4 linked regions of the Callithrix jacchus genome follow. The protein of the gene in region 4 interacts with the protein of the main gene of each other region in a biochemical or structural test. Links are inferred from orthologs where the notes say so. Each region holds a gene or a part of one and is shown on either strand. Other genes may lie near its edges.

What was found.
Region 1: the proteins of RAB11A (region 4) and RAB11FIP4 form a complex in vitro, tested with the Homo sapiens proteins (2 studies listed by BioGRID, with this or other methods). The link is inferred for Callithrix jacchus from reciprocal best matches to the Homo sapiens genes RAB11A and RAB11FIP4.
Region 2: the proteins of RAB11A (region 4) and RAB11FIP1 form a complex in vitro, tested with the Homo sapiens proteins (2 studies listed by BioGRID, with this or other methods). The link is inferred for Callithrix jacchus from reciprocal best matches to the Homo sapiens genes RAB11A and RAB11FIP1.
Region 3: the proteins of RAB11A (region 4) and IKBKG are reported together in a solved structure, tested with the Homo sapiens proteins (2 studies listed by BioGRID, with this or other methods). The link is inferred for Callithrix jacchus from reciprocal best matches to the Homo sapiens genes RAB11A and IKBKG.

What each region holds. Positions count from the first base shown.
Region 1 is NC_133506.1:102,620,109-102,625,053, forward strand, and holds part of RAB11FIP4 (rab11 family-interacting protein 4), read right to left. Parts: intron 2,875-4,945; coding exon 2,648-2,874; intron 1-2,647. UniProt on the Homo sapiens protein: Acts as a regulator of endocytic traffic by participating in membrane delivery. Required for the abscission step in cytokinesis, possibly by acting as an 'address tag' delivering recycling endosome membranes to the cleavage furrow during late cytokinesis.
Region 2 is NC_133514.1:38,775,912-38,780,856, forward strand, and holds part of RAB11FIP1 (rab11 family-interacting protein 1), read right to left. Parts: intron 1,743-4,945; coding exon 1,300-1,742; intron 1-1,299. UniProt on the Homo sapiens protein: A Rab11 effector protein involved in the endosomal recycling process. Also involved in controlling membrane trafficking along the phagocytic pathway and in phagocytosis. Interaction with RAB14 may function in the process of neurite formation.
Region 3 is NC_133524.1:150,351,200-150,356,144, reverse strand, and holds part of IKBKG (NF-kappa-B essential modulator), read right to left. Parts: intron 3,592-4,945; coding exon 3,439-3,591; intron 2,294-3,438; coding exon 2,197-2,293; intron 1,206-2,196; coding exon 1,062-1,205; intron 518-1,061; coding exon 375-517; intron 158-374; coding exon 96-157; intron 1-95. UniProt on the Homo sapiens protein: Regulatory subunit of the IKK core complex which phosphorylates inhibitors of NF-kappa-B thus leading to the dissociation of the inhibitor/NF-kappa-B complex and ultimately the degradation of the inhibitor.
Region 4 is NC_133509.1:12,897,601-12,902,230, reverse strand, and holds the end of RAB11A (ras-related protein Rab-11A), read right to left. Parts: intron 3,236-4,630; coding exon 3,096-3,235; 3' UTR 1,481-3,095; downstream 1-1,480. UniProt on the Homo sapiens protein: The small GTPases Rab are key regulators of intracellular membrane trafficking, from the formation of transport vesicles to their fusion with membranes.

The sequences.
Region 1 (4,945 bases), on a different chromosome or scaffold from region 4:
GCTAATTTTTGTATTTTTAGTAGAGACGGGGCTTCACCATGTTGGGCAGGATGGTCTCAATCTCTTGACCTTGTGATCCACCCATCTCAGCCTCCCAAAGTGTTGGGATTACAGGCGTAAGCCACCGCGCCCGGCCCTCTTGACCTGTTAAATACATTTTGGGGACCCTATCTAAAGGGAAACATCTTGCCACATAAACCGTTACTGCAGTTGAAATCAATTCTACCCATGCTACGCTAGAGTAGCAAAACATTGCTTACAACCTAAGTGTCTAGCTACAGCTAAACCAAATTATAATTATTAAATTATAATGCTAGTAAATTATTAAATCGTGGAATATCAAATCGTTGTTGAAAGATGTGTTAAAACATTGGGAGTAATATAGAAAATGAATATAAATATAAATAGATCTAAACTTTTAGCTACTGTAACACTGAGTATGGTTGTCCCTTGGTATCCGAGAGGGATTTGTTCCAGGACCCCCCGTGGACACCAAACTCTGAGGATGCTCAAGTCCCAGGTATGAAATGGCATAGTATTCACATACAACCTATGCACATCCTCCTGCATCCTCTAAATCCTCTCTAGATTACTTATAATACCTAACACAATGTAAATGCTATGGAAATAGTTGTTATACTGTATTATTTTTTAAGTTTATCTTTTTTTTTTTTTGAGACATAGGCTCATTGTCGCCCGGCCAGAGTGCAGTGGCGATATCTCAGCTCACTGCAGTTTCTGCTTTCCAGATTCTAGTGCTTCACCTACCTCAGCCTCCAGAGTAGCTGTGAGTAGCCTCCCAAGTAACCTCCTGCCACCACGTCCAGCTAATTTTGTAATTTTAGTAGAGACGGGGTTTTTGTCATGTTGGCCAGGCTGGTCTCAAACTCCTGGCCTCAGGTGATCTGCCCACCTCGGCCTCCCAAAGTGCTGGGATTACAGGCTACTCCCAGAAAGCAGCACGGCCCCTCTCTCCATCCACAGCTTCAAAGGGCCCCATCAAGAACATCCGGACTCTGACATGTACTAGGTTGAACTACATGAAATTACCTTATTTTGAAGATGGAAATGATTAAAAGCTGTCAATTTTATATGGTTCAACCAACCCTGGAACCCCTCTCTTCTCTCCCTCCAAGTCCCTGCAGCAGCCATAACCATCACCTTCTTCTGGTAAGGGGCTGCCACTTACAATCCCCTCAGCTTCCTCAGCCACAGTGGTGGTGGCTTCCCACCACCCACAGCACTGTATTCCTCAAGAGTCTTGGCGAGGGCTGAAAATGGAAAGGAATCCTTTCTGCCGACACCAAAGTTAAAGATGACACTGCTTCCCTGGGAAGTCACTTAGGTCTTAATATTGCTTTTAAATAACATTTCTGATTATGGGAGTACATGCTTAATGTAGAAAATATAACAGAGTAGATGGGAGGTAATTAAAATGATCATTCTACCATACAGAAATAACTGCTTAGTTTTCTAGATTAATTTTTTCTAGGCATTTCCTAACATACATGTCTATGTTTTGTTTTTCAGAAATGGGGTCTTGCTATACTGCCCAGGCTGGAGTGCAGTGGTTATTCACAGGTGTGATCTCACTACTGATCAGCACACAAGTTTTGACCTGCTCTGTTTCTGACCTGGGCCAGTTCATCCCTCCTTAGGCAACCTGGTGGTGCCCCACTCCTGGGAGGTCATCATACTGATGCTAAACTTAGTGCAGACACCCACCCGATCGGCATTGTGCACTAGAATCCAGAAGATTCTCCTGCCTCAGCCTCCCAAGTATCTGGAACTACAGGCACGTGCCAATTGCCTGGCATAGGTTTGTGTTTTTAACAAAGCTGATCTTACGGATATCTTGCATATCTTTGCAACCTACCTTTTTTTTTTTTTAAAAAAAGACAGGGTCTTGCTCTTTTGCTAGGCTGGAATACAGTGATGTGATCACAGCTCACTGTAATCTTACATTCATGGGCTCCAGTGATTGTCCTGACTTGGCCTCCCAAAGTCCTGGGGTTACAGGTTGTGCCTGGCCACAACCTGCTTTTTAAAACAATGAGATCATATATCTCATATCATTAACTAGTCATTTAAAACTTGACTTTGGCCAGGCATGGTGGCACTTTGGGAGGCCAAAGTGGGTGGATTGTGAGGTCAGGAGTTTGAGACCAGCTTCACCAACATGGTGAAACCCGGTCTCTACTAAAAATATAAAAATTAGCTGGGCATGGTGACATGCACCTGTAATCCCAGCTAATCAGGAGGCTGAGGCAGGAGAATCACTTGAACCCAGGAAGCAGAGGTTGCAGTGTGCCGAGATTGTGCCACCGTACTCTAGCCTGGGCAACAGAGCGAGACTCTGTCTCAACAATAAATAAATAAGTAAATCTTGACTTTGTCTATAGGACTAGGACTGAAAATAAAGTAAAATTAAATTTAAAACCTTGACTTTGCATTGCTGCCTAAAATTCCAAATTTAGAATCTTCTGCTTAGAATCTTAGAATCTTCTGCTATTCAGAATACCCATGATGCTAATGCCTCTGACACAAATTTTGAGCACATTTCACATTTACTTCCTGGAGACACTTTCTAAGAGCCACATTTCTGGGCCAAGAGGCAAATACTAAGCTTCAGGCGGTTTTAACTCACTTGTCCTCTGGCAGAAACAGGCCCCCGAGTCCCCCGTCCTTCTCGGCGGGACTCCCAACAGACCCCTCCAGGCTCTGAGTGCTCTCCATGGGGCTGTCTGTGTCCAACTCCTGGGGGCCCTCAGGCGGGGCCAGCGTCATAGCCTCCTCCTCGTCCTCGGGAAAAAAGCCGGGCTCCCTGGGGATGAGCTCGCCATCAGCAAAGGTGGGGCCTGTGACGTCGATGCCCTGGGAAAGACAGAGGGGAAGATGAGTGAGGCCAGCTTCCCAGGGGTCAGTGTTCCAATCAGACTGCAAGGGCATCAGCCAGGCCTAAACAGCAGGGATTGGGTACAGGAGGCCCAGACCCCAAGACCCTAAGTGTGGGAACACCTGGCAGGTGATTAGTCCCAAGGACCTCTCATACTGGCTGACTCATGAGCATCTAGTGAGGAGGTGGAACTCTCAGAAATGGCCATCCACAAAGAAGGGCCACAGTCAGGCCAGCCACATCATTCAGGGCACCCTGGCACATCAAAGCCCCAGCTGAGGCAGAATAGGGTCTGGAGGCAGGGAACATAAGGTTGATTCACACTGATTTCCTACAGCTAAATCAAAGGAAAACCCCAACTTTCCACACCCAACTAACCACTTCCTTTGCATTCCCTGCCACCCCTCACCACCCTCCACCCCACCACCCGCACCCTCCACCTTTTCTGTCTGGCAGATGAAAACTGAAAGTATCTCTGATTGGTCCCTCCTGCAACCAATCAGGCTGGTCAAAGGTTGTCTTCATTTGCATAGGAGTATAATTTTGTAACTTCGCTTTAACCTCTGATCCATTGCTTTCCTCAATCAATCAGATGTTCACATAGGGTGTAACTTTGCAACTTCACTTCAGCCTCTGATTGGTCCTCTCCTGCAATCAAACTGATTGTGGGCCACTGCTTCATTTACATAGGGTATACACCAACTAACCAATGGGAAACCTCTAGATGGTATTTAAACCCCAGAAAATTCTGCAACCAGGCTGTTGAGCCCCTAAGCTTGGGTCTGCTCCCAACCTGTGGAGTGTACTTTTTTTTTTTTTCAATAAATCTCAGCTTTTGTTGCTTCATTCTTTCGTGTGTGTGTGTGTGTGTGTGCGCACACGCATTTTGTCTAATTCTTTGTTCAAGACACTAAGAACCTGGACACTCTCCACTGGTAACACCACCAGAAGTCTGCAGGAGGCCAAATGGCTTTGAGGCGGCTTCTTGGCGCTCCATGTAAGGGCACAGCCACACTGAATAGCTTTTAGGAGCAACAACCCTGGCCTAGTAGAGTTTGCTGCAACGTGGTATAGTGAAAGCTGCACAACTTGGGGTCACCCTCCATGACTCTGGGCACGTCACAAAATGTCTCTGAACCTCAGTTCTCCCCTGTAACTCAGAAATGGCAACAGAGCCTTACAGGATCACTGTGCTGATTCAATGAGGCTCTTCACATTAGCATCTAACACACAGTAGGGCCTCAATGAATAAACTCCAGTCAGAAGATGTGATGTCCAGCCCAGGAGGCAACCACCTATCTGGGCCCCACCACAGCCTTGCTGGGAGCAAGGATGCCAGGCCTCCCTTCTGAGCATTGCTTGTGCTGGGTCCAGGGCCCAGCATGATAATGGCATGTGTTAAGGACATCACACCTTTCGCTAAACACATCAGATAGAAGAGCTTTGGCTTAGTTCAGAGTTCACCCTAGACCCTAGGCAAACCATTTACTGGGGCTACTTCACCTCTGAGCAGGAAGGTACTTATCAGGTAGCACCACTTCTACCTGACCCATCAGAGATATCTGTTGCCAAGGTTCCTTGGTGTGCTCCTCAGCCAGGGCTGGCAGAGCACCCCATCAAAGGACCCTGCAGCCCCAAGACTGCAAGAAGGGCAACAGAAACAGGCTGTGAAAAGCCTCCTGGAGTCTCAGACAAATACAGGTTCAGGGACAGCTGAAGCTGCTGCTTGGCAACAGGCCTGGATGTGCCGCCCAGACATGTGCAGTCATCTGCTACCACCAGTGAGCTGGCAGCCCTCCTGGGGGGGGGGTCTGTCCCCACTAAAAGACCCCTGGGCAATTAATGAGCCTGGTTCCTGCCTGGGCTGTGACAGGCTAAGCACAAGATGCACCAATAATATCAGCACCAGCGAGCCAGGCATGCCAACAGTGGAGACTGTGGAGTCCAAGACTGTGTAATGAGAATCCCCCCAGGGTTCCCAGGGCCCTTTCCACCTACTTGTCACTAATCTGGTCACATGGTTCCCAACCTATCATATCTTGTGCCCTA
Region 2 (4,945 bases), on a different chromosome or scaffold from region 4:
TAATGAAATAGCAGAATTACTATAAGGTTCCATGGTTTTGCTCTTGAAAAAAAAAAAATCTTGGAGACACTCATTCTGTTAGCTCTAAAAGCTTGTACTAATGGACATAAGTTATAGAGCCAAACACTCTAGAAAAGGAATTTCCGCCTTTTTAGAAACCAGAGGGCTTAGAAATAGAGAGGGCATCTCAGCTGTGTGCAGTGGCTCACAACTGTCATACCAACACTTTAAGAGGTTGAGGCAGGAGGATTGCTTGAGGCCAGGAGTTTCAGCCTGGGCAAAATAGTGAGACCTCATCTCTAAGAAAAAAAAATTTTTTTTTTAATTAGCCAGGTGTGATGGTGCACACCTGTAGTCCCAGCTCCTCAGGAGGCCAAGGTGGGAGGATCCCTTGAGCCCAGGAGTTGGAGGCTGCAGTAAGCTATGATTGCGCCACTACACTCCAGCCTGGGCAACAGAGCAGACCCTGCCTCTAAAACAAACAAACAAAAAATATTTAAAATAAAAAGAAATAGGGCATCTTTTTTTTTTTCATTCTGTCACCCAGGCTGGAGTGTGGTGGCATGATCACAGCTTACTGCAGCCTCTACTTCACGAGCTCAAGCAATCCTCCTACCCCAGCCTCCTGAGTAGCTGGGACTACAGGCATGTGTCATCACACCTGGCTAATTTTTATATGTTTTGTAGAGACAGGGTTTCACCAAGTTGCCCAGGCTGGTCTTGAACTCCTGGGCTCAAGAGATCTGCCTCCCTTGGCCTCCCAAAGTGCCGGGATTACAGGAGTGAGCCACCATGCCTGGCCTTAGAGAGGGCATCATTTGTTTTTTTGTTTTGATTTTTTTGAGACGAAGTCTCCATCTGTCACCCAAGCTGGAGTGCAATGGTGCAATCTCGGCTCACTGCAACCCCTGCCTCCTGGGTTCAGGCAATTGTCCTGCCTCAGCCTCCCGAATAGCTGGGAATACAGGCAAACACCACCATACCCAGCTAATTTTTGTATTTTTGTAGAGATGGGGTTTTGCCATGTTGGCCAGGCTGGTCTTGAACTCCTGATCCCAGGTGATCTGCCTGCCTCAGCCTCCCTAAGTGCTGGGATTACAGGCGTGAGCCACTGTACCTGGTCAGAGAGGGTATCTTAACCAGGATTACTCACCATTATCATTACCACTGCCACCACGATTTTGTAACTGAGGAATTGAATTAAACTCTTTATCTTAAGATTTGTCCGTTTCTTCTCTCTCAGAACGAAGCAGGCTAAGTGGAGGAAGAGAGGTCAAGAGGGAAGATACGGAAACTCACCGTCTGAGGCCGAGGAAGACTCATCCTCATTGTCATCTTCGTCCCACTGGGACTGAAAGTCTTTGGGACGAAGCAGCACTTTTTCTGGCTTTGAAGTCGGCAGGACAGACATGGACTGGGAAAGGGGCGTTTTCTGCAGAGTCGACTTGGAAAATAGGGTCTTGATCTTTGATTTCCTTTTCTTGTCTTTGGGCACAGACTCATCATCACTGTCAACTGAGGGTGTTGTGCTGGGGACGATGGCAGAGGCGGTGTCCGACCCACTGTCCTTCTTCTTCCCCTTGATCTTGTCCTTCAGTTTTCCAAAAGGATTCCGAGACTTGTCTTTCATGGAAAGGTCAAACATGCTGGCAGTCATGTTGTTTCTCATAAACTGAATGTCAACTTCAATTTCTCCTCGCTCCTTGTCTTTCTTTCCTGGTTTGGACGTCAATTTATACCACCTGAAAGGAGAAAGGCTGAGTTACCTTTGAATGGAAAAGACTGCAAAAATGTTCACAATTGCCATGAACTGGCCTCTCTTCTCGGCTACCAGCAACCTGTTTGATGCATGCATTCTTAGGCTTTCTCTTTGGGGAGATCCAGATGAGAGCAGATTTTTTTTTTCTTTTTAAGACAGAGTCTTCGGCCGGGCGCGGTGGTTTAAGCCTATAATCCCAGCACTTTGGGAGGCCAGGGCGGGTGGATCATGAGGTCAAGAGATCGAGACCATCCTGGTCAACATGGTGAAACCCCGTCTCTACTAAAAAATACAAAAAATTAGCTGGGCATGGTGGCGCGTGCCTGTAATCCCAGCTACTCAGGAGGCTGAGGCAGGAGAATTGCCTGAACCCAGGAGGCGGAGGTTGTGGTGAGCCGAGATCGTGCCATTGCACTCCAGCCTGGGTAACAAGAGCGAAACTCCGTCTCAAAAAAAAAAAAAAAGACAGAGTCTTGCTCTGTCACATAGGCTGGAGTAAAATGTTACAATCTCGGCTCACTGCAGCCTCTGCCTCCCAGCTTCAAGTGATTCACCTGCCTCGGCCTCCTGAGTAGCTGAGATTACAGGCACTGGTCACCACGTCCGACTAATTTTTGTATTTTTAGTAAACACAGGGTTTCGCCATGTTAGCCAGGCTGGACTCGAACTCCTGACCCTTAGGTGATCTGCCCGCCTCAGCCTCCCAAAGTGCAGGGATTACAGGCATGAGTCACTGCACCCAGTAGAGAGCAGAATTTGCACTTTTATTTGTATTTCTTTTGTTCATTTTTTTTAAATTTTGCACTTTTATTTTTGAGAAGACATGCACTACTAGACAAAGATAGGATCCAGTGTTGTACTTAGCATATAATAACGTAAAATCCTGATTCAATAAAGAGTTCATTCTAAAAATAAAGAAAAAAAATATTCCATGGAATCACTTCCGATGACTAAAGTTTTCCTTCAGTAGAGTAAAAATGCAAAGATCAGGGCCAGGCGCAGTGGCTCACGCCCGTAATCCCAGCACTTTGGGAGGCCCAGGTGAGTGGATCACAAGGTCAAGAGTTCGAGAACAGCCTTGCCAATATGGTGAAATCCTGTCTATACTAAAAATATAAAAAATTAGCTAGGTGTGGTGGCAGGTGCCTGTAGTCCCAGCTACTCAGGAGGTTGAGGCAGAAGAATCGCTTGAACCCAGGAGGCAGATGTTGTAGTGAGCTGAGATCATGACATAGTATTCCAGCCTGGGGACAGAGTGAAACTCCATCTCAAAAAAAAAAAAAAAGCAAAGATCATATACAAACAGCTAAGAAGGGTGGCATGCAAATGTATAATTAAATCTCCAAGAAAATCAAGTTTGTAGTAAGGAATAGTCCCTGCTAGGGAGTAATAAAACATACAAGGCAGAATTTAAAAGAAAAAAGGTGGGGGAGGAGACTGGGCATGGTGGCTCACACATGTTAATCCCAGAGCTTTGGGAGCCTGAGCCAGGAGGATCACTTGAGGCCAGGAGTTCAAGACCAGCCTGGGCAACACTGCAAGACCCCATCTCTATAAAAAATTAAAAATTAGCTGGCATGGTGGTATGCACCTATAGTTCCAGCTGCTCAACAACATGAGCCTAGGAGTTCGAGGTTGCAGTGAGCTATCATTGCACCACTGCACTCCAATCTGAGTGACAAAGCAAGACCCTGTTTCTAAAAATAAATAAATAAAAATAAAGAATTTTTAAAAAAGAGTGTAATCAGGCCAGGTGCAGTGGCTCACGCCTGTAATCCCAGCACTTTGGGAGGCAGAGGCGGGCAGATCACCTGAGGTCAAGACCTCGAGACCAGCCTGGCCAACATGGCGAAACCCCATCTCTATTAAAAATGCAAAAATTAGTTGGGTGTGGTGGTGAGTGCCTGTAATCCCAGCTACTCAGGAGGCTGAGGCAGGAGAATTGCTTGAACCCAAGAAGCGGAGGTTTCAGTGAGCCGAGAGCATGCCAGTGCACTCCAGCCTGGGCAACAGAACCAGACTCCATCTCAAAAAAAGAGTTAAATCAGTCAGTTAGAAAATGACAAACACTATATGAGTCTGCTTATGTGAGGTTCCTGGGGTAGTCAAATTCACTGAGGCAGAAAGTAGAATGGTGATTGCCAGAGGAGGGGAAGGAAAGAACGAGGAATTAATGTTTGATGGATATAGAGCTTCATTTGGGGAAAATTTAAAAGTTCTGAAGATGGATGGCGGTTATGGTCACACAACAGCATAAATGTTCTTAATGGCACTGAACTGCACACTTAAAAATGGGGCTGGGCGTGGTGGCTCCGACCTGTAATCCCAGCACTTTGGGAGGCCGAGGTGGGCAGATCACTTGAGGTCAGAAGTTTGTGACCAGCCTGGCCAACATGGTGAAACCCTGTCTCTACCAAAATACAAAAAATACCCAGGCATCATGGCACATCCTGTAATCCTAGCTACTCTAGAAGCTGAGGCAGGAGAAACGCTTGAACCCAGAATGCGGAGATTGCAGTGAGCTGAGATCGCGCACTGCACTCCAGCCTGGGCGACAGAGCAAAATTCTGTCTCAAAAAAAAAAGGGGGGGATAAAATGCTAAATTTAATTTTATATTATGTTTTACCACAATAAAACAAACGGGGAATTGAAAAGGAAGCCTTCTTCCCCAGCTTAATAATCAGAAAAAGGAACATTTCAAATACTATTCAAAGTATTACACTAGGTCATTTGCCATCTACTTCAAGATGTGGCAAATGACATTATATCAGTCCAGCTCCACTGAAAGACAAGCTTTAAAAAAGGAAATCTCCTCATGACATTCATTTTCCATCTAAGAGCCCTGTACCTTTAGTGAACTGTAAGAATGTGAGCCAGGCTGGGTACAATGGCTCACACCTACAATCTCAGTGCTTTGGGAGGCTGAGACAGGAGGATAGGTTGGTTCAGGAGTGGGATCTTGCCTTGCTGCTTATACAGTGAGATCAGTATAAGCAACAAGGAAAGATCCTACTTCTCTAAAAAACACACACATATATATATGTGTTTGTGTGTGTTTTTGAGATAGAGTCTCGCTCTGTGCCCAGGCTGGATGGAGTGCAGTGTCGTGATCTTGGCTCACTGCAATCTCTGCCTCCTGGGTACAAACAATTCTCCTGCCTCAGCCTCCTGAGTAGCTGGTACTA
Region 3 (4,945 bases), on a different chromosome or scaffold from region 4:
GACAGGAAGGTCCAGCTGTGACCTCCTGCAGCACAGCGCCCGCCCTCCCCACCCACCTCCCCCTCCTCCCGCAGGCCCAATGCTTGCTCACTCACCGGGTGCAGGGGGCAAGGGGGTCGGAGAGACCTCTACATGCCGCTTCCTCATGTCCTCAATCCTTTGAAAACAGAAACCGTCCAGTCAAGGCACATGCTTCTGTAAAGCTCCATGGCTGGACTAGTGTCAGAGAAGCTCTTGGAAGCTCAGGTGAGAGGAGAGGGGCCGCAGTGAGTCCTAACCCAGAACGCCAGAAGCCATCCATCTCCTGCAGTCACCACTGGCAACCCCCTAGTGTTGCACCCACTGCTCACAGGGGCAGACTCTCAGAGGCCCACCTGGCCGACTCCTGACAGCTGGCCTTCAATTTGCTGTACTCCCTCTGCAGCTGCTCCAGCTGCTCCTGCAACAGCTCCTTCTTCTCAGCCAGCTTCTCCCGGGCCTGCCTTTCAGCCTGGAAGTCCGCCTTGTAGATGTCCGCCTGGCAAATCCAAGAGAGAGCGATGTGCCCACCACAAGCCAGCCACCCACTGAGCACTGTGACAGGCACAAAGGAAACAGATATGTCTGCAAGTGACACCAAGTGCACTGAGAGGTCAAGGAGCAGCACAAGTGGCTGAGAAGCTTACGAAAGGCCACCACAAAATGACGCCAAACAGGCCAGGCATGGTGGCTCATGCTTGTCATCTCAGCACTTTGGGAGGCTGGAGTGGGTGGATCACAAAGTCAAGAGATTGAGAGCGGCCAGGCCAAAATCGTGAAACCCGGTCTCTACTAAAAATACAAAAATTAGCCGGGGCTGGTGGAGAGCGCCTGTAATCCCAGCTACTTGGGAGGCTGAGGCAAGAGGATGGTTTCAACCCAGGAGGCGGTGATTGCAGTGAGCTGAGATCCTGCCATTGCACTCTGGCCTAAGCAACAAGAGCAAAAATCCATCTCAAAAAGAAAACACACACACACAGAAAGACACCAAAGAGACACAGCAGGTCCCAGCAGGAGGGCGGGCCAGAGAGGAGAGCCCTGACCTGCGCCTTCAGCACCGGAACCGTCTCCATCACCATCTTGTGCTGCTCGGCCTCCTCCTTCAGCTTATCGATCAGCTCCTGTTTGGCCACCAGGGCCTCCTCAGCCTGCTGGAGCTGCTGCTTGAGATCTTCCAGCTGCATTCCCTAAAGACAGGCAAGGGGAGCTGACGGACCCTCGTTGGCCGAGGGCGGAACTGGCAGGGAACTGAGAAGGACAAAACAGTGGCCCTGGCTGACCAAGCTGGGCGATGCCAGCCGCTTGATTTTAGGGCCCGCTGCAGGATCTCAGCATGAATAGGGAGAAGACCGCATCCTCTTGCGGCCCAAAAGGACAGAGCAGATGCTGAGGTTTTCTTCAGGACCAAAGAGGCCACACTGAGGTCACCTGGCACAACCTCCCAGCTGGGCGGACATTCCCTTCCCAGAATCCCCAGCTGCACAGCCCTCCTCCCACCCTTCACAGGACATGGGCCATGCCCATGCACAGCGAGCTGGCCCGTGCCTGCTGCATGCACGGCTGAACTGAGAGCCCTCGCCCTTTCCACTCTGCACCTGGTCAGAGGTGCGCTCATCCCACACCGGCATCGCCAGCCCCCCCACACACACAGACACACACTGCCAACCCTTCCCTCCAGAGATTATGTGGCCACTTGTGTCACTAACTCTTCCTCATGTGACCTTGCTTCAAGCTTTGACAGTGTCCTGCTAAAATGGGATCACTAGCAAACTGCACCCAGCTTAGGTCCGAGGAGGACAAACTAGGAAAAGGCTCCTAGCCAACATTGGGGTGGAAACGTTGCCGGGCTTACCTTGGCTTGGGGGAAACTGAGCCAGGAGCGCAGATGCTGATGGCTGGCAAGAGGGAATATCCACAGAGATAAGATATCCCCAGCCCCATAGAGGACGCATCCTGAGGCTCTGCCCCAGCCCCCCATTATGGTGGCCTGCCAACATTCCTGAGAGCAACATCCCAGGGTCGCCATCTCCCTACAGCTTCCCTGAGCTGTCACAGCTGCAGCCTGACAAAGGTCTAGGGCAAGTCAAGGATCCCTACCAAATGCCCACTCTCAAGGTTCAGGGATGTGGGGAGAGGAAGAGGCAGGGCTAGCCCTAGAGCCCCGGCGGCCGCACTCACTCGCTTCCGCTCGCTGCTCACCACACTGCTCTTGATGTGGTTGTCGTATTCTTGGAAGAGCTGGTGATAGGCCACCTGCAACTGAGCCAGCTTCCGCCTGAGGAAAAGTGGCATGCGCTGGAGAAACCACCTCAGGCCAGTCCTGCCACAGTTCCGCCTGCTTCCACCTCTACCCGCCTGTCCCTCCTGTGCATCCCAGGCCTGGAGTGGGGTCTTCCAAGGCTGGGTGAGGATTCCTGAAGCTGTTGGCTCTGAGGCAGGCTTTGCTGGTCCAGTCACCAGGAAGTTAATATCATTTTCCTTAAAGCTAACATGTTTAAATATTTATAATAAAATCATGGCCAGATATAATTCCCATACTTTGAGAAGCCAAGGCAGGAGGTTGGCTTGAGCTCAAGAGTTTGAGACCAGCCTGGGCAACATGGCAAAACTCCAAGTCTACCAAAAATACAAAAGTTAGCCGGGTGTGGCAGCCTGCGCCTGCAGTCCCAGCTACTTCGGAGGCTGAGGTGGGAAGATTGCTTGAGCCCACGAGGCACTAGGTAAGCCCACAGTAAGCCGAGATAATGCTCCTGCACTCCAGCCTGGACGATAGAGCAAGACCCTCTCTTGAAAATAATAGTAGTAATAATATAACAGTAACAACAATACAACTGAACTACCCTGCACTCTTCAAAACTGTGAACTTCACAAACAACTCAGAAAGGCCGGGTAACTGTTCTAATTAAAGGGGACTGAAAAGGCACGCCAAGGACAGGAACCTGAGGCCACAGGTTGGATGCTGGTAGGAAGGGGACATTGGGGGTATTTTTGTTGTCTTTCTGTTGCCAAGGCTGGTCTTGAACTCCTAGGCTTAAGTGATCCACCTACCTTGGCCTTCCAAAGTGCTGGGATTACAAGCATGAGCCACAGCACCCAGCCTGGAGGGGGTTTGAAAGGACAAGTCCCCTAATGACCTGGTGGCTAAGAAAAGAAGTACAAAAAAGGCCATGTGTGGACACACAGTGAAACGTGGTCTGGATAGCAGATGGCATGATTGTATCAAAGACAAACTGGTTGTCATCATGGTCGCCTCTACTGTTAGCAAAGCTAAGTGACAGAATGGGCCCACAGCCACAGACAGAATATGAAGGACTCCCCAGAAGGCAGAAAGGACCATAGACCCACCGCTTCTTGGCCTTTTGGCTGAGAACAAGTGTAGAACCAAAGACCCTGTGATGCGGCCCTGCCCCCATGACTCACTTCTCCTCCGAGGCGGCCTGTCGCTCCATGCGAAGTGCAGCCTCCACACTCTGGCCCTGCATGCGCAGCTGGTCCACCTGCACACTGTGCTGCTGCTGCAGCGCCTCACGCTCGCTCTCTAGCTGCCGCACCTGCTCACTGGCCGCCCGAGCCCTGGCACAGGGAAAGAGCAGACTCAGGGAGGATGAACGGGGGAGAGGAGCGGCTACACGCAGGGCATCGGCAGAAGGCGTCTGCTCCGAACACCCTGTGACTATAAGCCAATGCAAGGCAGCAGGGTGAAGACACTGTCACCAGACACGAGGACACCCGCAGTGCCCGGGCCAGGTGACAGGAGCCCTCAGAACTGCCCACGGAACTCCAATGGGGGGCTGCTGGAGGCCCCAGCAAAAGCAGTCTCTGTGGAGAGGGTCAGGAGAGACCGTTCTACAAGTGAGACACAGCCCACCGGGGTGTACAAGCACTGAACTCAATGCAGACCAGGCCTCGGCCCCATCCCTGCTGCTGCCTGGAGCTCTGCTGGCATCCCAGATGCGCTGCGTGGAGGCTCAGTTCCCTTAACCTGCAGTTTCCACGCTCTGGCCTCATCCCACGGCTCCGAGCCCTTCCACGGCCTCCACTGCAGGACGATGGTGGGTGCTTCTGTGCAGACCCTGGGTGGCCTCTGGCCACAGTAGACATAGCCCTCTTCCAGTCACCCCAACTCCGCCTGACAGGTCTGGCTGCCTGGCTCTCTCCGCTCTGTGCCTGCCCGCACTCTGCCGCCACACCCTGCCTGGGCTCCCTCTGCCCATCAGAGCCCAAGTCAAGCTCGCCTCCCCTTTGCCTTGCTGGTTGCCCCAAGTGTGCTCTGACCACCTACTGTGCCGGGATGGCTGGGGCCCTGTGGCAGCTGATTCATCTGTCTGGACGGTAGAAGCAGGGCCGAGTAAGAACCACGAAAACCTCCCTGACCTTTGACCCAATGGTCCCACTTTGAAGAACCAAGACCCCTTTTCAAAAGAGAGTAACCAGCAGGCCCAAGGTCCCTGCACCTGGGCTGTTTGTAGACACATCATTGCCATGAGCACCCACTCTGCTGCTGGGAGTCAGAGATTTAGGTACCTGCCTGGCAGACAATGCTGACAGGACCCACCCCCAGTAAACACCCAGGATGCTGAGTCTCTAGTGGGCAACCCTGGGCAGGAACTTGGCCCATGTGGGAGGCACTTCTTACTGTGCGCCTCACAAGTTGGGAGGAGCCTGGGACACAGTTTCTCCAAATCCACCTGCAGCTCCTGCCCTGTGCCCTTTTCCCTGTCATCAACCTCGGCCACGAGGGTGACTGTGCACCGGTCCTAGAAATCCTTCCAGAGAACTAGAAACTGTGGGTGTGGGCTTGGAGCCCTCAAAATGCCTCTTAAGGAAATAATCCAAACTCCATCAAAGGGTCTGAGAGTATGGAGAGCTGGCTGGGACCCAGGTCCTGGATGCCTGGCCCAGACCTCTCCCAACGCCTGCCCTGAAG
Region 4 (4,630 bases):
TACCATCAACCTCCTACAGTTTGGGGAAACCCAATCATTCTTTAAAACATTAGAATGACAGCTCCAGTTTATTTGGCCTATTGTATGAGGCGAGTAGGAAAGACCTGTCAAATCCCAGAAAGCAGTGTGGCACCAGCACCACCCAACCAGGAGAAAAGTCTCTCTGGCGCTAGTGTCATAGCTCTCTGACTGTTGCACTAACCCATCAAATGATGTGGTGGAAAAGGATCCTTCCACAATCTTTGTGCATTCTTTTACACAGCAAATGGGAGCCATACATAACCTTTCACAAAATTCATTTTTTAACTTTTTTTCCGGGTTTATCTGTGAAACATCAAGAAAATCAATTTATATTTTTTCCTGTTAAAACAAAGCCCCCAAAATTGAAACCTAGCAGGTTAGAATAAGTTGTTAATTGTCCACTCAGCCTTTGAATTCTTTCACTTCTGGTATTGGCCAAAACTGTCTAAATGGTACAGCTTCTTCTCTAAGGTAGACAGAAGCGATTATCGCAATAGCACAAACCACTGAAAGCATTTGTATTTTATAAATACAAGTCAGCAAAGACAAAAATTAAGATATTCATTTTCTCAATGATCAAGGACATGTGGCTAGCTCTGATGGGCAATCCAAACTCACGAAGTCTAATTTTCTGCAGAACCCTTCAGAACTTAAAAGATCACTAATGTAAGGTCACTAGCTGGCACCTCTTCTTATAATTACAATTTAGCATATTCAATGCAATGGCTAATAACTGACCCTTACATAATGACAACTACTATTAAAGAGAAATCATAGCATTTGAGAACAATGACAGAAGATTAAATCAAGGCACTATGGCTGACTTTTCAGAAGACTACCTAAAAGGTTAAAAAAATTCAAAGTTAAATAACTGAAAATCGAGGTTAAGTAGCAAAATACTTCTAAATTGCCTCAAGCCTTGAATTGTCACAACATTTTAAAATTTTTTGTTTCTTGCTTGAGACAGTTTGTCTCCTAATATACTACTCAGAATAAAGATAATTGTTAAAATGCAATCAAAGTCATTTTCTAATACTTAGTATTCCTTGGAATTCTCCCAAGATCCAACCATACCCAAGGCAACATTTAAGTCTACACTGGGGTAAAAATCCTAAGTTACTTTATTTATTTTCAATTTACTATTTAGTTTTTCTCTTTTCTTACTTTGTAAAAAAATTTACCACCAACTTTCAATAAAATGGAGATGGACTATTTTCCTGGGTATGGTGACACTGTTATATATGAAAGTACACACTACTTTCCTAATGTTTTGGAACATACTTTTTCCAAGAAGAGCATAATTGAACTGCAGGTCTAAAATCAAAGCTGAATTCACACACTGATGCTGTCAATTCAATGTTTACTCAGTAATGCAAGAACCTATGCTTTTACATCAGGATTCCACAGCTGCATCCAAAGCACTCAAAGGAAAAATGTAATCTGACAACATTAGAAATAATCCCCCTATAACTGTTTATTAGAATGTGAATATATTCCAAATCAATTACTAAAAAAAAAAAAAAATCAAATTACAGAGCATGCATAAAATACAAAGTAGCAATTTACAAATAGATATTATCTTCATAACCAACACACTAAAATAATAAAATGGCTATAGAAGAAAACCAAAATGACTGACTACAGCAATGCCTTCCATGTGCCCCACACATCATGAGCACCGCAAAAGACAAAAGATTAACTATGAAATATAGTAATCTAAGCAAGCCCACACATACATAGTTTTGGGGATTTCCCTTCCCACCATCCTGAATAGTATCACTGCAGTTGACACAACTTCCAGAAAACTGCAGAGTAAGTACTTAATATTATCCACGAGAAAGCAAAACTAAGTATCAGTGTGCACATTTCTGAATGAGAAACTAATTGCTTCACTGATTTCAACAATGTAGTGGAAGAAAACTATTGCAGGTCTCCACAATGCCTAAATGCATTCTATTTAAACTCAAGGTACTAATTCATTTTGCATACTAAAAGAATACATGCCTTTAAGTGGTACCACTTGAGCAGAAATTAACCTCTCACTGTATTCTTTAGACATACTGAAACCAAGATTTAACTGGACTGTATTCCATAATATACTGCAAAACTCAAAATATTAGCATTGTTAAAATAATTATCCATGCCTGCTGGTGGATATGGTGATAAAACTAGGTTGCATTTCACTTACTGGAAGGTTTTAAGACAAAATTAACACTTCAAATTTTGATACTACCAGCATTAAACCAGTTATTGCCTGAGCAATAAAATGCCACATAATCTACTGCTTGGAAATTATTATAGATCATTTAAATGTTCTGGGCTGCCTGATCATTGCAACAGAGGCACCTGAGATGGAATTCCACAAGTCTCTCCAGTTCAAGCCTGACAGGCAGCACTGTTTAACTTATGGCCCCATAACCATATTACTAATGAAACCGTAACAATCTTGTGTTTATTAAGAGAATTCTTCTCCAGAAAAAGTGCCCCCTTCTCTAATCAACTTTGACGCTTACAAAAATTTAAAAACAAAATTTACTCAACTACATAAACCCATTAAGGCATTTTAGAAATTGATGTCCAGAACAATGGAAAATTGTCAAGCTCTCAAAATCTTGCTATGTTTATAGGGCAATTCATAGATTTGTGGAAATATACACTGCACTGAGAGAAGAGTGTATTACCTGTAAGCTGCTCTGTGGCAAAATGGTAGCTTATTTCTAAGGTCTTCTGAGTTTGATTTGATCAAGACCAATAGGTCTGAGCTTCAAGTGATCAAGTTCTATTATGTCCTACAATGACAGGCTTCCATGATGAAAAGTAAACAATAATTGAGGAATCCAAACATTCAGTTTATTAAACTAAGGCTAGTGAAGCCATAGCATGAAAAAAAAGCTGCAGTCATTCGGGACAAGTGGATGATTTTATAAAGCTAAAATCAAAAGACTTAAGACATGGAAAAATTCCTAAGTAGGAAGTAATAAAACACAAAGGTGACACAGGAATTACAAATATATTTAAATCTCAGACCTGGGAAATGGACTATACACAGCCTTCTAAGGGAGAAGAGAAATGCCTTAGATGTTCTGACAGCACTGCACCTTTGGCTTGTTTTCAGTGGTTGGTGGAACATGAATAGGAACCACATTGTTGCTTGGAGACATGTCATTTTCCCGTCTGTCTGACATTTGCTTCTGAGAAACGATGCGGTAAATCTCTGAAGGAAAAAAGAAACCACAAGACTTAGTGTGAATAAACCTATCAATAGGATAAAAGATACGTAGAGGTAGGAGATACACTTGCATCCAAGACCATAAGGAAATTAAACAGAATACATAAAGCTTTATTTTTCAAACAGCCACTGATTATAGTCAACCCCTTATTTTAACAATTGCCCTTGGGGTAAGATAAGAAACAAAAATTTTTCCATTTCAGAGGGAAAGGTTCACCCAGTCAATCTTTGTTTAAAGAAGTAAACCAGGTTGGGCTGTGGTAGCTCACACCTGTAATCCCAGCACTTTGGGAGGCCAAGGTAAGTGGAGGCCACCTCCCAGGTTCAAGTGATTCTCCTATTTCAGCCTCCCGAGTAGCTGGGACTACAGGCCTGTGTCACCACACCCGGCTAATTTTTGTATTTTTAGTAGAGACGGGGTTTCACCATGTTGGCCAGGCTGGTCTCAAACTCCTGACCTCAGGTGATCCACCCACCTCGGCCTCCCAAAGTGCTGAGATTACAGGCGTAAACTACCATGCCCACTGAGAATACCTTGTTCTTAAGAGATAAAATGTGTAAGTATTTAGTAGCAAAGTGCCACAATGTCTACAATTTACTTTCAAAGACTGAATAAGAGGTGAAACATACAGAAAGATTTTAAAATGTGGCAAAATGTTAACAGCTGATGATTCCAAAGGAAGATTCGTGTCCACTGTATTTATTCCATAACACTTGTAAATCTTTTAAAGTTATAGAGAAAAAAGAGAAAGATGCATATTTTTGAGCTGCTCTGAGAACGTATCAACCACCGTCAATAAAAAAGTTGATACAGGAAATTTTAATATTGCTTAGATAATAGGATAGGGAATTATTGCCAATTTTTCTTTCTTTCTATTTTTTATTGCCAATTAAGTGGTTTTGTTATGAGTTTACATTCTAATTTTTAGATATACATCCCAAAATGTCTACAAATGAAATGAAGTAATAGCTGGGATTTGTTTCAAAGTAATGGAGGAAGGAGGTAGAGGAAAGACTGGTTATTAGCTGGTGGTTGTTGATGGCTACAGGGGATTTCATGATACTATTCTGCTTTTGCGTTTCTTTTTTTTTTTCTTTTTGAGACAGAGTCTTGCTCTGTCACCCAGGCTCGAATGCAGTGGCGTGATCTTGGCTCACTGCAACCTCCACCTCCCAAGTTCAAGTGATTCTCCTGCCTCCACTTCCCAAGTAGCTGGGATTACAGTTGCATGCCACTACATCTGGCTAATTTGTGTATTTTTAGTAGAGATGGGGTTTCACCATGTTGGCCAGGCTGGTCTTGAACTCCTGACCTCAGGTGATCCACACGCCTGGGCCCCCCCAAAGTGCTGCAATTACAGGCACAGAGCCTAAATTCTT